2 linked regions of the Coturnix japonica genome follow. The protein of the gene in region 1 purifies or fractionates together with the protein of each later gene. This does not show direct contact. Links are inferred from orthologs where the notes say so. Each region holds a gene or a part of one and is shown in the gene's direction. Other genes may lie near its edges.

Region 1 (8,051 bases):
TTCTATGACTGGCTAGCAAACTGGAATACTTCATTGTATGACAGATGCACACTGGTATGTTATGTGTCCCAACCATGACTGATTTAGGAGAACAAGGCTGATGGTTCCTACCTAACCATGTATTGAAACATTTCTGTGCTTGGAAATGTCCCTAACAGGGTAGGGTTTTTTGTTTATTTTTTAGGTATCCTGTGGAAATCTCTTGGAGTGTTCTTGTGCAAATTGACCTTAATTGCAATATTAATCATACTCCAATCTTCTGAAAGCCTCCACTTAATTCCTTGAAAACCAAAGCTCTATTTTTTTGCATGCAAAAGCCCTGTCATGTTTTTCTTTAGAAAATGGATTTGCAGACAAGTTGCTGCCCCAAATCCTGTGTTGCTTCTAGTTCATGAAGGTAGAGATGCTCTGTGTACATGGGGGCACTTCACTTAATAAAATTTTCATGCTCTGTTGGCTCCAGCTGAACTGTGATAAATGTCACCGCAGTTCAGACTGTATTGTTTTTTTTCTGAGGCACTGAGACAGTGCTAGAACAGCTGCACTGTCTCTAGCTGTGGTCAATGGCAAAAACTCAGTGAAAAAAGGCAGGGTTGTATTGAGTCACCTTTACCAGGTACCTCATTTCAGTCCTGAGCAGTGTGTGGTTTTGGTGATTACAGAAATCACAGCTGGATGTTTGTGTTTTTACAACTGTATTAATGCCTTCCTTCATTTATTATCACTGCCATTATTAGAAGCTCTGTATATTTTTGCTTTCCGTTGCACCCTGCAGCATATTGTCTTCATTTTACCTGTTAGTACCAAAGAGTTTGTTGATACTAAAGGCTGTTCCTCAATAGTTCCCTGTGCGGATGCTTTTAATTTAAAAAGAAATTCCAGTTTTTCTGAAATACTTGTTACACTTTAAGCTTATCCTCTACTCGATATTGGGTAAACTTTCAAATATATGTAAAACTGACCTTTAGAATGAAAGTTCTTCTTTTTCTTTTAAGCTCTCTGATCCATCTGACTTACCGAAGAACGCCTTCAGGATTTTTTCTATGCTTGTAGAGTTCTTATGCACTGAACACATTGATTATGCATTAGAAACAGGCCTTGCTGGTGAGTATAATATTTTTTTGAGCACTTCATCTCACTGGCCTTTTTGTGGAGATCATCTTTGCAGGTCCTTTGCAGAGCCTTATTGATTGGTCATGTTCAAAATGTATTGGTTAAGTGAAACCTATGAGAAGTATTCTGTACATGGCACCACGGTGAACGTTTCCAACATTTAGCATGTGATTTTAGCACTCGTGGCAAAATCTGCATATTTAAAATATCATTCTAATTAAAGAACTGTGTATCGTTATGGTATTAATGAATCCTTCTTTCCTTTAGGCATTCCCTCCTCTGATTCAAAGAACGCAAATCTTTATTTCTTGGATGTTGTCCACCAGGCCAATACTATTTTCCATTTGTTTGACAAACAGTTCAATGATCATTTGATGCCATTAATCAGGTACTTTTATTTTGATCTGCATTTCCACGGTGAATGGTAATTTTTGGTGAACAGAGCAGGCTTTTTTTCCTTTCCTCATCTCTGTTAAGAAGAGTTTATTCTTGGAGTGGTTCAGCTTGATGTTGCAGGAAGATGAAATACTCTCATGGGGGGGAGGAGGAAGGGAAGTTACACTTGGAATCATAGAATTACCCAGGTTGGAAAAGACCTTGAAGATCATCAAGTCCAACCTCAGCCTAACCAGAGATAGCTTAGATAACCAAGGGGGGAGAGGCATTGAGAATACTGATAGGCATGAGGGACAAGTTGCTTTGCAGAGATCTTGCTGCTGCATTTTACTGGGCTAGTGGTGGTTTTATGGCTGCATCTTGGAGTGAGCTGGAGATGTCAGGGATGCAGAGATTGCAGAGTCTCTGCAGGGGAAGAAGCTGGCCATGCCATGGAGCAACATGTGAATTACATGGACATGTTACGAGCTGCTGGTTGGATATGCTCAAGGTAGAGCACACTGATGTGTTGTGAATCAGTTCCGTGCCAGTCAGTGCTCCACAAATTCTGCTTGGGGTCACACGGCTATGGATGTGTTGATCTGAAGCCAGCTAACTCCACCTAAATTAGTCCTTTTCTGTGGAACAGGAAATATTCACACATCCCTGATTTAAGAAGCAGTCCCAGCAAACAGATTTGTTTTGGTACTCTGACCCTTTCTCACATAACTCCTTATGCTGTTGCAGTTCGTCTCCTAAACTATCTGAATGCCTTCAGAAGAAAAAGGATATCATAGAACAAATGGAAGTGAAGCTGGATATGGGCATTGATCGGCAAGTAGAGATTTAAACTTTATTAACCACCAATTCTTTTAAAACTCCTTTGGGATCTATTATTTGGTTCCCTTTTCTGGATTAAATCTTTCTGAACACAAAGTTATTTCTTTTTTCTACGTTATTCTATGCACGAAACTTAGATTTTGTTTGTTTAGAGGGTCATATTTATGTGGCAGTTTTCTGACCTTACCTAAGAAAGACGGTAGTAAATAATTCTGTTATGTTGAGAGTGCACTCATTCTGTTTTACCTTACTGTCACTCCACACTGGAAAGGGCTGAGAGCAGCACTGTATGGGAAAAGTAGGCATTGTATTTGTGTCCTATAGGGTGATTCCTGTGGAGATAGGAGAGAGATTGTATGTATTTCCAGAATGCTCTGCAAGTTGTTTCTTAAAGGCATTTTCTGCAGGTGCAGAAAGAATAGTGGGGATGGAACATATGTGTGTAACGATTGAGATTTTAGCTGTTCCTACTGGAACAGGCTTAAATGCAAAGCTTGAAATACTTGAACCACAGTGACCATAAGCTTGGTTCTAGACAGGCATGGGTCAGTCCAAACGTTAGAATAGTTTATAACTGTGTCAAGCAAATAATGTCTTAAAAGTGGTAGTAAGACTTAGGAGAACAAGTCCCTGTTGGAAAACAGTGTGCTCAAAGGTTTGTGGATGGAGTCTTCATAAACACTGGCACTTTTACAGGTAAAGGAGAGGTTAGCTTTCAGATGAATGTTACATGTAAAATGTGTGTTCTTGCTTACATGCTGCTTTGTCGTACCCCTGCTGCTAAGAATTGATTGCCTTGCCGAAAGGAATGATCTAGTTTGAAAAATAAAGCAATTTCTAATGCTGAAATTGCTAATACAAGTAATTTCTAGAGTTAAAGGCATCAACACTGTGCAGTCTGAATGAGTCCTACAGGAGCTTCTGGAATGGTATTCACAAAAATTGCCTGCCTCTGCAGAAGTGATTTACGAGTCAACCAAAAGTAGCTCTAATGGCTTTCTGTCAGTTTGTATTCTGTGCAAACAGCCTCTTGGGAGTATTTATTGAAAACAGAAATTTAAGAGGCTGTAATTTGTTTGCACGTAGATCGTTGACTGTGGTACACCTGAAATGCAGATTTGAGTCTCTATGCATAGAAAGGGAGTTTTAAAGGATCCACTTACTGCCTTTTGGGACTTAAATATTCTTCCCCTGTCCTTCCTTTTATTTCACTTTACCAATGTTTTCTGATGCTTGCTGCTGAATAATGCACGGTGTTATCTAATTCTACTAAAATAAGCATTTGGAACTCTTCCTTTGTCTGTCTCATTCCCTCAGCAATGAAGGATGTTATCCAGTTCCACTGAAGAGCTGGAATTGAGTTGGTTACTTCACAGTTAATGTGTCCCCTTTAAGACCAACTGGCCAGCATGGTTGCTTGTTTGTTTTTTCCCTCCTACTGTTTTTCTTAATGGCTTTCTTAAAATCAAGCTTGTCTTTTTTAGAGAATTGCACTGTAACTTCAATCCCTCGTTTTCCATGTTTGCCATTGGTATATATTCTATAGATGAAATGTTAAGCAGTGAGGTTTTTTCCTCGTTGTTATATGCTACATGCTTTTGTATAAGGCCACTTTACAATATGTAAATATAAAAATCAAGGAAATGAGAACATTCCCTTCAAAACCTTGAGTGTTCTTTGTAACTTTACAGGACATTGAATTGTATGATTGGACAGATGAAGCACATCTTGGCTGCAGAGCAGAAAAAGACAGATTTTAAGCCAGAGGATGAAAACAACGTTTTGATTCAGTATACTAACGTAAGTAAATTAAGTTCCAGCTCATCAGTATAGCTTGAAATGCACTTGATTGATATCAAACACAAAGGAGCAAAATAGAGAGAAGTAGAGAACAAACTGTTGTTAATGGGGGGAATATATCTGAATATATGAAGCTGGGTGAAAATGGGAAGAGTGGAGCAGTTGGTTGTAGAGGCTGGTAGTGTGTGGGAAGAGTGAAGATGGCTGTTAAATTGGGTTTACAACTACAGCTGCCGAGGTTTTAGTTGTCTTGATTGTCCCCCCCTTTGTTAATTGTTGCTTAAATTAACAGTGCAGACTAATCTGAACTGACACAAAGTTTAATTTGGTGGAATGTTGTCTTGCATCCTTCTTTTTTATGCATACTTGTGTCTCTGGCAAGTGAAAACCTGTTGGAATTATTAACTGGAAGGTAACAGATGATGTTGCACTGTAGGAATTTTAAAGAACTTACTAATTAATGTTCAGCTTACATAGAAGGCACTTAATGAGAACAGGTTTCTTGATTATAATTTAAATTATTCTTTTTCCTAAGGCTTGTGTTAAAGTCTGCAGCTATGTTAGAAAACAGGTGGAAAAGATTCGGAAGTCTATGGATGGTAAGAACGTGGACACGGTTTTGATGGAGCTTGGAGTTCGTTTCCATCGACTCATCTACGAACACCTGCAGCAATATTCCTACAGCTGCATGGGTGGCATGTTAGCTATTTGTGACGTGGCTGAGTACAGAAAGTGTGCCAAAGACTTCAAGGTAAGTCATGTGTATGTTGGTGATGTACAGCCATGATGGTTGGTTAGATGATATTTTACCATTTCTTCTGAGAAGTTTTCGTTAAAATAATCTTTCTGTTTGAACATCAGCATTTCATATGCTGATGTTATATGTGCTGTTAACTGTGCTAGTAGTACTTTATCACTTCTTAAAGAGCAGTCTCCTAATACCATTTTGTTGCTTGCAGACTATATATGTATATACACTGAGGAAGCATTTAGTCTATTCTAGATATAGTTTTGTATTGAAACAAAAGCTAAGATTTGCTTTCTGGCCAAGACCTGTGATTCTCTTGCTTCAAGTGCTTTGTTTTTTCCCAATGACTATTATCAAAATTACCACCTTTTTTTATTGCATGTGTGTTGGTATCAATGAGTTTTTTTCTGGACTAGTCTTAAAAACAAACAAACAAACCATCATCCCTCCCTTAGTTTTCTCACTGATGTCTTGAGGAAAGAAATCAAAAGCATCTTTGTAGCCTTCAGTTTGTGTCTTTGTAAGCAGCTCAATAGATTTTTAAGTCGCAGTATAGATTTGTACTTAAAACAACATATGCATACAGTGAGAAATAGCAAGCTAGCTTAGTTATTTTGTAATTGTGCTTGGGTTTTTTTTTGCTATCATTCCACGTGCCTCTATATATTTATACACAGAATGACTGAGATGTATTCTCTATAGGGGAGATGTCTTTTGAGAATCTTGATGGATGTTGTGTTTTAAGACCTAGGTCAGTTTTTACTCTTAATACCTCTTTTTTTTCTTTCTTTTTCTTTTCTTAACCACAGATTGCGCTGGTGTTGCAGCTCTTTGATACTTTGCATGCACTTTGCAATCTTCTGGTTGTAGCCCCGGATAACTTAAAGCAAGTTTGCTCGGGTGAACAACTTGCTAATCTGGACAAGAACATCCTTCACTCCTTTGTTCAGCTGCGTGTTGATTATAGGTCTGCACGTCTTGCTCGTCACTTCAGCTGAGAGCACAGGAGAAAATGTACCTATGGGCAGGCCTCAGAAAGCACAGGGAATGATTTCTTACCAAACCACAGCTGTAACTTTTGTGGAATAATGACTGTTCAGAATCAAACAGCCATATTTAGACATGTAGAATGCTAGCAGGTAAAAATCGGAATGATGTGTTAGCTAAAGTTCTCCTAGTGATGAATTTTTGCAGAACTACTCGCTACTGATTCTTTTTTTTATTGGACATGTTGGTGTGGGAAAGCAAGTGGCACATGGAAAGTATCATAGTCTTCAATATTGAATCATCAGATACCATTTGTTGGAGTTGAACTACAGAGCGTAGCGTAGGTAATGGATTACATAGAATAGACCAGTGTAACAACATCCTCCATCAATTTTAATGACTTAGACTTCAGCACAGCTAATCATAATCAAATTATCTTTGATTGGTGTTTCTGAATCATTTCTTTCATTTTAAAACGTTATCCTGCTCAATGTAATTTCTTGCTCTAATTAATTAGTTGGGAATTTCTTTGAGATACAGAAGTAAAAGGAACAGTATCCCACAAAGATGTAATTTATTCATTGTGTAGCATTCTAAACATAACTAATATTGTGGAAAGATTTTCTTTTTCGGTTCTTTGGTTTTGGGGGGGTTTTGCACCTAACAGTCAAGGGCCCACTGAAAAGTATTGGCGTTGTATGACCTGACATTCTTGTTTCTCTCTGTTTGGTATTGGAACACTGAATTTGATAGATGCTCCTGAAGTAAGTGCAGCTGCCTTGTCTAGGCTTTGTCACTACAAGGTGAAGGTGCCTGTGGTTGGATTAATACAACTTTTTCCTGTCTCTCGTTTTGTATATATAAATGAATTCAGATTATAACAAGTGAAAGGATAAAAACGTAGCCCAAGTGTTCATTTATCTACGGGAGGAATGGACTGCAGCACTGGTGAAAACCTAAGGGTGAAATGTACTGTGCTGATGATAACTGATCCTTGGTGCCTGAGCAATATGAAATGTCGAAGCGTGCAAAAGCTTCTCTTCCACTGCTCGTAATTTTAACACTGGGGACAGACTACTTCTGCATCAGTTCTACTACAGCGTATTTATTCAAGGTGCTTCCGAGATGGACCCGTTGTGTGCAAAGAGAGAATTGAAGCACTGGTGATTTGAAATCCAGGGTAGCTTTTCCTCAAGCAGTTGAAAACTGTTGTAAATAGATCTTTGTTCAGAACAGACTCATGGAAAACAGGTTGGAACTGCTTTGGATCGTGTCTTCAATCTGACTCACATCGTACCCTAACAGATCACCTGTAACACTGTTCTTTCTACTGTGGGCTCAGCGTGCATTATGAAAACCTTTCTCTCCCATCTTCAGAGCAGCAATTCTGTAGGTTTACTTTATGGGTCGGTCAAATAAAATAATTCTCATTCATGACTTCCCAGGTGTAGTCAGTATTGACAGACTCGTGTGGGACTTTTCTTGGATAATTGAGGTTCTTCTGCTTCATTTTCCATTTAGGAGAGCACTCTTATCAGTAAGCAAGAGAGTGGATGCCAGGCTTTCTCAAAGTGCTCTGGGAGGCTGGCTGCTTTATTGAGCTGCAGAGCTCTATTCCTTGGCCATGGCAAAGCCACAAAGAGTTTGGGTTGCTGGAGGAGGCCCATGCTTGTACTGCTGCCATCTTATTTAGTTTTTCTTTCCAAGAGCTCTGATGTGGATTCAGATGATACCTCTCTGTTACCTCTGTAACTGAAAGCCAACAATTTTAAGGCTGTGGTTTTATTAGCCAATACAAAATCTTTCTACACAAAAAAAAAAACCAAGTGTCAATTTGTAATAAAAGAAAAAACTTCAGAACAGCGAACGTCACTTTAAGATCACAGAAGTGCTTCAGAATTTGTCGTATGGTTGTTTGGAATTATTTTTAAGGTTGTATGAAATGTATTTACCATATTTCTTGCTTTATTAGCTGTGTTTCCCATGAATGTGCTCAGTGCAATATTTCCATTATGCCTGTTAGCAGGAGGCAGCAAAAAGTAGGTGACTACTAGAACATACGTATGTAAAACTCTTGCTCAATAAAGAAGGATTTCCTCCAGATGACTTCCTTCCATTTCATTTCCACGTCCTTCCAATGTCTTTATGCCCAGTTAGAGAAACAAACAAAACCTATTGAATAAGAAAA
Region 2 (8,293 bases), on another chromosome or scaffold:
ATCCAGAAGGTATAAACCTTTAAAAATACTTTAACCTTTGATGAAATGACTGTTACCTTTTAATAAATATAAACGTTTATTTGTTTTTTATTGTTGTTTTTAAGGGTGATTATGATGTGGTTATTAATGACTACGAAAAGGCCAAGTCGCTCTTTGGAAAGACAGAGGTTCAAGTATTCAAAAAATGTAAGATATGTATTGTATTACTTCTGTTTATTCTCAGCATATAAGCTAAAAAGCACATAGTAGTTAAAAGAGACATATGATTTTAATCCTTAAAAGTTATGTGTATATATAGGAAAAGTTAAACAATATTTCTAGCAGATTTTCTATGCAAGGTATATTCACAGTCAAATTTACTTATTAAGACTGGACATTTGGTGAGAGAAAAAAGGGTTACAGTGACTGAAAATGGGACTGTGGATAATTCCAAAGTACTGTTGGAAAGATTTCAAAGTATGATATTTTTTCATAGAACTGTTGTATATGAAAATGTCAGGTACATATTTAATTTTTTTCCCATAATAAATCCAAAAGTGTCTGATGTCCTAGAAAAATAATGTAATTTTCAGTTCATGCTACTACTGAAGGCACGGGTGAGATTTATTTCCTCTCCTCACTCCTAGATTATGCTGAAGTTGAAACCAGAATAGAAGCTTTAAGAGAACTTCTGTTGGATAAACTCCTTGAAACTCCATCAACACTGCATGATCAGAAACGTTATATAAGGTAGTCATTCAACTTTTGTCTTCTTTGGATTTATGATATTAGATATTTATTGTTTCCTAAATAGGGTAGTTACTATTTTTTTATGATAGTTTGAATACTGCTTTTAAAGCTGAAAGTAGATTGTGTTGTGATTTTTTGAATATATAATGATTTTGGATTGATGTTTGATTGTTTATGGAGTGATCGAGATTGTAATTTTTAAAAATCATAAAGGTATGTTCATTTCTTCTTCTAAATCATCTCATTGTAAGCTATGTATGAAATGATCCTTTGTAAGATGCAGATCTCAAAATAGACTGCATATTAACTTGTGCTCCATTTCAGCGTGGTGTTAAAAATGCATCATTTTGAGTCAGATAATAGAAAGTTTTTAATCCAGAATTGAGTTTAAATTTGTTTTTGACTCTTTTACTATTCATTCTAAATAATGAATGTCCTTTACATTTCATGAACATTTACCATTTTTCTACTTTTCATTAAAATTCCTATATTTGCTCTCATTCTGTAAGGTTATGTCCAAGCCAATGGTAGGATTACTAACATGAGTTGCTCGGACCTTATCCTAACAGTAGACCTTAGCCTTCTTTACAATCCTTGGGAACAGAATTTAGAATGCTCTGAAACATTTGACGACGTTACTAGCAAGCTTTTGAGCCCTGAGTGTTGGTAGGACTCCCAGTGTGGCTTGATATTCTCAGTGTTTTTTTTCCACTTATCTTAAAAGTTGAAGACCGAATGCAATATGCAGGTAGCATTCTTAGAAATCTGACACCTGTGTGAGGTCTTTAATGTTTTTTTGTGTTCACCCAGCCCAGTTTCACAGGCAGGGAATGCTGGAGTCTTCTGCCCTTTTACTTTGTTAGTTTATGAGGACAGTGACCAGTGTGCATTTAGTCCTTCTCATTCTTCTAGGTGCCGTGTAAATATTGCATATTTGTTAGAGTTACATTTTAAGATGAGGAGTGTTAAACATTTTGTGTGTCTTGAAAAAGCTACTGTTTCTTTCTTTCTATTTTAGTCTTGAAAAACCTTAAAAATAACTTTTTTGTTTTTATACTTTTAAGGTAATGTTTAACATATCGCTGAACAAGCAAGAAGATGCATTATTTCCAGTGCTAGTGATATATGCGTATTTATTTATTTATTTATTTATTTATTAAATATTGTGTCTAAACAATGACTAAAGTCCCCCTAAATGTTAAGGAAAGACATGAGCTCATAGTTTATAAATACCACCCTGTCAAAATGGTTGGTTGTGTAATGTTCTCATCTATCCCACCAATTGTCCTTTGACAGTTCATTTTGTTCATGAAAGTACTGCAGACAAGGAAGACGAATTTTTGCAATGCATTCGTAATTAACCTTAGGTGTTATTATAGTAACATCACTTCTGTGAAGGAGTTAAAACGCTCACTGCACTGCTTAAGAGAAGTTAGTGTATTTCATCTTGAGCATCTTGCATTTTTGAATTTGTCCTGTGTTTTTAATGCAGAATATAATGGAGATGGTGGTGGTATGGCAATCCCACCAATACTCTGTAATATTTGTTGCCATATGACAGAGGGCAACAGAGAGGCAGTGGACACAAAAGCATGAAACAAAGGTGTGCCATTAAATTCCTCCATGTGAGGAAAAAATGGCACCCACTGACATTCATTGGTGTTCCTCAGCTTTTCTGGGGAGCAAATAGTAGATGTGAGTACAGTGAGGCAGTGGGTGATGCATTTCAGCAGTGGTGACAGTGAGTTGCTTCCACTGGGACAGATATTTGAGAGCACAGCATGAAGGCACATGTTCATTACTGGTGAAAATACAGAAGTAATGGTGGTGACTGTGTTGAAAAATAGTGTTTTGTAGCTGAGAATTTGCTCTTCGTAGCAGTTGTAGTTTCCATGGAAATAAACAGGAGAGGCATTACTTTTGGAGCAACCTGTGTTTGTGAGTGTATATATATATACATATAAATAAGATGCAGTCCCACAGTGTGCGCACAACCTAATGGAAAATAAAAAACAACAACCAGGGGCTTAGTTTATATTTGCCTATGCATGTCCATGGTTGGATTAATGAGCCACCAAAAATTAGTTCCTTCTGTACTTTCCTGTTCCAATTGATACGTGCAAAGTGGGGAGCAAAGTACCATATTTTATATGCTTGAGATGTCATCAGAGGTTTCAAGTGAAACATGAAATACTGATCTGCAACTTTGACAGATAAAAATCTTGGTTACCAGAGAACACTTCTAGAGGCACAACAGAAAATACGTACCTAATCTGATTTTCAGTGTATGTGCTTTTGTATATTATTATAAGGGTTTTTTAGTAGAATTTTGCTTCACTAAATTAGGAAGTGAGAATGCAAAGTTTGCATTTGCATTGGGTACAAGTTCTTGAATTTTTAAAATTATACATCTCTGTGTATATGTGTGTATAAATACATATGAAGATATTTCTGTTTTAATGAGGCCTTTAATGTGTCAAGTCAGAGCTGTGATTTTTGGACTGGATTTTGCAGATATCTTTCTGATCTTCATGCGCCTGGGGACCCTGCTTGGCAGTGCATCGGTGCTCAGCATCAGTGGATTCTACAGCTCATGCACAACTGTAAGGAGAGCTATGTTAAAGAGCAAAAAGGCAAGGATATGTTTTTGTTACTTATATGTATTTGACACTTAGGAATTTGGCATTGCCTTTTCTTTGACAAGTTTTAGTGTGTGAATGATGCTTTTGGTTGTTGTTGTTCTCTGCTTAATTTTGATAGCTTTTCACAAAGCTAAATATTGAACTATATATTTTTTTCTTTATTATAAAAGGAAAGTATCTGTTAGAATTTTTTTTATTTTTTTATTTTTTAACTTAGAACTTGTAAGCTTCTTAAATGGGAAAAGCATTAAATTTCAGTCGTATATTTGAGGTTTACAGTCCTCCAGAAATAGTCCTCCATCCACTATCTAGAAATAGTACTAGAAAGTCACGTTAAATCCACCATTTATATTCTTCTTCGTACAGTATACTAGTAGTGTATTGTTATGAAGGACATCAAAGTACCATGTGATAAAGTCTAATTTCTTGACATGCAGTAAATGATAACACAGGGTTCTCTTACTCTTTTTTGCCAGTGCAGTTTCAAAACTGATTCTTTTTGTTCAAACACAGACCTGTGAGATTATCTTAAGTATTCAGTTTGTCTATTTTACATTAAGAGCTATATGAATATTTAGCTGTATTCTGTCTAGTTCTGCCAGTGTTGTTCCTTGAAGAAATGCACCCTCATAGATGCTTCAAAGGTGTGGCAGCAATTGAGCTACCAGTCATAATCCATCACATCTTTGTATTTTCAAAAGGGAATTGGCAGGAAACTACAGACCTGGTGTTTCTAGGAGTTAAATCTATAACCTGGATTAGAAATTGAAAATACTGTGTTGTTTCTCAAGTAGTCTTAACAAGTTTACTGATTTTCCTAAAATGAGTAGTAATTCCCGTGTTTAGTTTTGTTGCTGTTTATCCCAAGCCAACTAAGATGTTCTCTTCTGAGAAGCACAGTAATTTTTCTTAGTCAGAGCTGTGGCAGATAAGTGCTGTGAAATTAATTGCTGCAAGATTCTCGCATTTTGTTCTTCAGCAGAGATTACAACTTCAGGTATAGGGTTCGCAGTGTGCTTAATGTGACAGTGATGTCAGTAAGTTGTAGCTTGAAGTATACATGGACTTTTTTTTTTGCTACAACACGTTATTGAGTGCTATGGGACCAGCTGGAATGCGAGGCTGATTTCTTGTACTCATAGTCAAAATCCAGAACATTTCCAAAACCTCACCATCTCTCATCCTTCCCAAAAACCTGAGAGACCCGACCCTGCAGTATATATCCGTGAAGGGCAAAATTCACTAGTGAAAATGGCCAATATTAATGATTCTAAACTATCTTTTTCTCCTTTCAGTTGCAAAACATTATATACCAATCCCTTAGCTTCTTATCTAAGAGAAAAAATAGGGGCACAAAGATGTTAAATACTTGTGACTTCTTTGTTGTAGTAGTCTATATAATATTGATGTGCATGGTCCAGTAATTAATCAAAAATGGACCTAAATTCCACGGCTTGTCTTGAAAATCTTAACCTTTTTGGTGTTTTTCTTGCAACAATTCTGCTTACCTCAGCCTTAATATCAAAGGAACTTATTATGTTAGCAGCTTTGTTTGGCTCACAGATGGAGAAATTTGCATAACTTGTCTGCCCAGTAAATGCATGTATGAATAGTTAATATTTGCATGAAAAAAAAAATGCTAATATAGTATGACTTTTATTTTAAAAAGCTAGTATCATTTAAATAGTTTTCTTTCATCCTTTTCTATGGTCCTTAGTTTTTGCGCACATTATATTGATCCTGATTCATAGTATTCCCCATTCAATATCAGCTTGAGCAAAGGAAAGTTGCTAAACTCAGTTTCTTCTTTCCACGGATCTTTAATTTTAACATACACCAGAGGGGAGAAGGCAAAGAGGAAACTTGGAAGAGTTGGTATTAACTGCCAAGCAGAACAGTGCTGACTGTGATCTGAGACATGGAATTTATTTTCATCTACTTTCACTGATGCATAATTTTCTAGAAGGAAAAGAGTGTTTTTTTTCGCTCAGATATCAAATTGGTTTTGCATGACTTCAAGGACTCAAATCAACTTGAAATCAGAAATAGGTTTTATACATTCATAAACTCAGAAGTTATTTTTATAACATAACAGTAGTAAATTTTCAGACTAGTTTCCTTAAAATATGCTTCCAGAAAAGGTTTTGAACATGAAGTATTTGGAGGAGGAGGTGGGTCATAATGTTGACAGCCTCTTGACAAATGCATTAGATATTTTCCTAGGTTTCTCTCCTCAGTACGGATAATATCCTTTGTTTCTAGCAGATGGTGTCTGCTAGAGTATGTGAATAGTCCCACCTTGAATGTACCAACATTTGTGGCTGATATTAGCAGTTTTTCTGTTGGTTCAAGCTAACTGAATCAAAGCTCTTCAGTGGAGTAACAAATTGCATACAAATGCATAAATAGATACTTGTGTTTTATTTTTCAACTTTCTGTTGAGTTTGTGCCAAATAATTTTGCTGCTGACTTAATAGTTTTGGAAACACACTGGAGCTGTAAGTTGTTATACATGATGAATTTTACTACCTGAAATGGATTTGGAATTAGACAAGAAACTTTGCTTTTCTTATCTGGAGAAGTCTTCTATTAACATTCTTGGAGCAGAGTTTGGTAGCTAACTGTGAATCTCCAAACGTTCTCAAAGAATTTGTGGGTCATGATTCGGGAAAGGGTGGCTATCATTGTAATTATTTCCGAAACAGGCTAAAAAACAAAACCAAATGCATTCTAAAGAGTACTTAGTCCAAATATACCCATTGATAACAAACTAACAGTGCATTCCAAGTTGTTTACGCAGTACCAGGAGGATGACCATTGAGACTTAACGCTTAGTTTTTTCATACAGAGAAATAGGATCTACTCCTATCTTCGCTAAGAGGTTGCGTCAATGTATTGTCTTGTCTGGGCCACTAGTAATGACAGTCAAGACAAAGCTCCAGTATTGACAAGAAGTAAATGTACTTTTCTGTGTGGATTCATTACCTTTGTCTAATGAGTGCCCCTTTGTAAATGGCATTTTTTTAAATTACGATTGTGATTTCCTGAAGCAATAACAGAAACCATATAAATCTGATTGCTCTCTGCTATTGCTGCCTGCTGGAAGGTTCTGAGGTAGATAAAGCTGGTTTGCTGCTTTTACTTCATATACAGTTATTTGTTAAGAAGATACAGATGAGACTAAAACAAGGAAAATGAATACTTCTGGTGGCTACAAATATAAAATTTAACATAGAGAACCAATATACTCGAAGTGGTATTTCTAGTATGTCTAGCAAGAGGTACGTGGATGACAAACTGAATTGTGCTGATGATATTTTGTGCCTTTTTTTGGCTAAATCCTGAGTTACTTCTTCTGAGCTTTGAACTAAGACAGGGAGAAGCCTGAGGACTTTCAGACCTGGTATCTGGATACAAAACAGTTTCCTTCAATTAAAAAATTGTTATATTTGTAATTTTTAACTTTATTTGGCAATTCCCCTAGTTTTGGGGCATAATTTTAGATCTTTAGTATGGTCTTCAGCTTTTCAGACTTGTTGGAGTACAGGAAACCTGGAGGATATAATAATGTAAAATGGCATGAAAATAGATGTAAATATATGAGGTTTAGTTGAAAATCTGCCTGGGGCACTAGGCAGCTAGCCAAAATGAATCAAGCAATGAGATTCATACTGTGAGTACCAGAAAAAGAAGCTATGGAGATTGGACCGTTTCCTGTGTGGCCAATGGTTACTGCTTAGCCTTCAGTATTGGCTGGACAGGTTTCATGATCATCTAAGCTAAAATGGATAGGGACAGTTATCTTCAAACTGACTGAAAGCATCTTCTAACTGGTCTTTTTGTGATATGTGTAATTTTAGAGTATATAAGCTGTTAATACCCTTAAGAAACCAAACCTGCGCGTGGAAACACTAAGAAAGTGGTAGCGTGGTCTTTCTACTGCCCTTCAGTCTGCAAAATATGTTTTCAGTGTTCCCAACATAGAGGTAGTTCTTGATACTCAAGTATAATAGTTCAGTCATAGTGATGGGGTTTTTGTTGTTCTAACTGTTGAAAGAAGGCAATTTTTGCAGCACTCAGAATATTGTACAAGCAAGTGCTTTTTGAGCCAGGATATAACAGCAGTTGTATGTAGCATGAAGAAGGGAGATGGATACTTAAACTGCAATGGTCTGTCTTCTGTGCCACACTGAGATTTTTTTCACCACGCAATGAATGATCTATCTTTGTTAGATCAGGCATACCAGCAAGGCTTGTGTCAAAAGGGCCTTTTCAATTTGTTATCCTAGCAGCTGGTTCTCTTCCATTGCCTTTGCTTACTGTACATCTGGAAGAAGACTTCTTGCAGCTGGGAACCATTTCATGTCTAAACTACATCCCCTGTCCGTAGCAGAAATACTCTTTTGACAGCAGATGTCAAGCAAACCCTTAATGGGTTATTAATTAAATTTTAAAAATTAATCAGTGCAAAATTTGACACCAGATTTGTTTTTGTCTTTTACCACCTGTGCCTGTAACTTTGTTGTTGTTTAGATTTTTGGTGGGGATTGGCGGGGGCGCACTGTTCTTTATCTAATACTTTAAATAGTAAGAACCTATCTCGTGCAGATATTAAATACTGTGATTAAAAAGAAGCACGTGTAGTTTTAAAGCAAAGCTGAAAAAGAAATGGTAACACTGAAAATAAAGGAATCTATCCTCTGGCCAGAATTTTACCTTGGTGTCTTCTTGAATCTTTTAAATCACTACACAGGAAATGAAGTAGAAGCAAACTGTTTTCAGAGTCACTGAAGATCATAGTGCAGATCTAAGTGAAGATCATTGGAGCTGGTGTAGTAAAATGACATCACTTTTGTTTATACACTGAGCTTGAAGTATTTGGCTTTTGCTTCAGTGTATTTTGGCCTGCGGGACTGACAGTA

Evidence for each region.
Region 2: the proteins of EXOC5 (region 1) and EXOC2 fractionate together in Homo sapiens (co-fractionation; 4 studies listed by BioGRID and IntAct, with this or other methods). This does not show direct contact. The link is inferred for Coturnix japonica from reciprocal best matches to the Homo sapiens genes EXOC5 and EXOC2.

The regions. Positions count from the first base shown.
Region 1 is NC_029520.1:50,524,705-50,532,755, forward strand, and holds the end of EXOC5 (exocyst complex component 5), read left to right. Parts: intron 1-995; coding exon 996-1,104; intron 1,105-1,380; coding exon 1,381-1,501; intron 1,502-2,235; coding exon 2,236-2,322; intron 2,323-4,019; coding exon 4,020-4,128; intron 4,129-4,663; coding exon 4,664-4,879; intron 4,880-5,685; coding exon 5,686-5,874; 3' UTR 5,875-7,966; downstream 7,967-8,051. UniProt on the Homo sapiens protein: Component of the exocyst complex involved in the docking of exocytic vesicles with fusion sites on the plasma membrane.
Region 2 is NC_029517.1:62,005,503-62,013,795, forward strand, and holds part of EXOC2 (exocyst complex component 2), read left to right. Parts: coding exon 1-9; intron 10-104; coding exon 105-186; intron 187-626; coding exon 627-729; intron 730-3,243; coding exon 3,244-3,362; intron 3,363-8,293. UniProt on the Homo sapiens protein: Component of the exocyst complex involved in the docking of exocytic vesicles with fusion sites on the plasma membrane.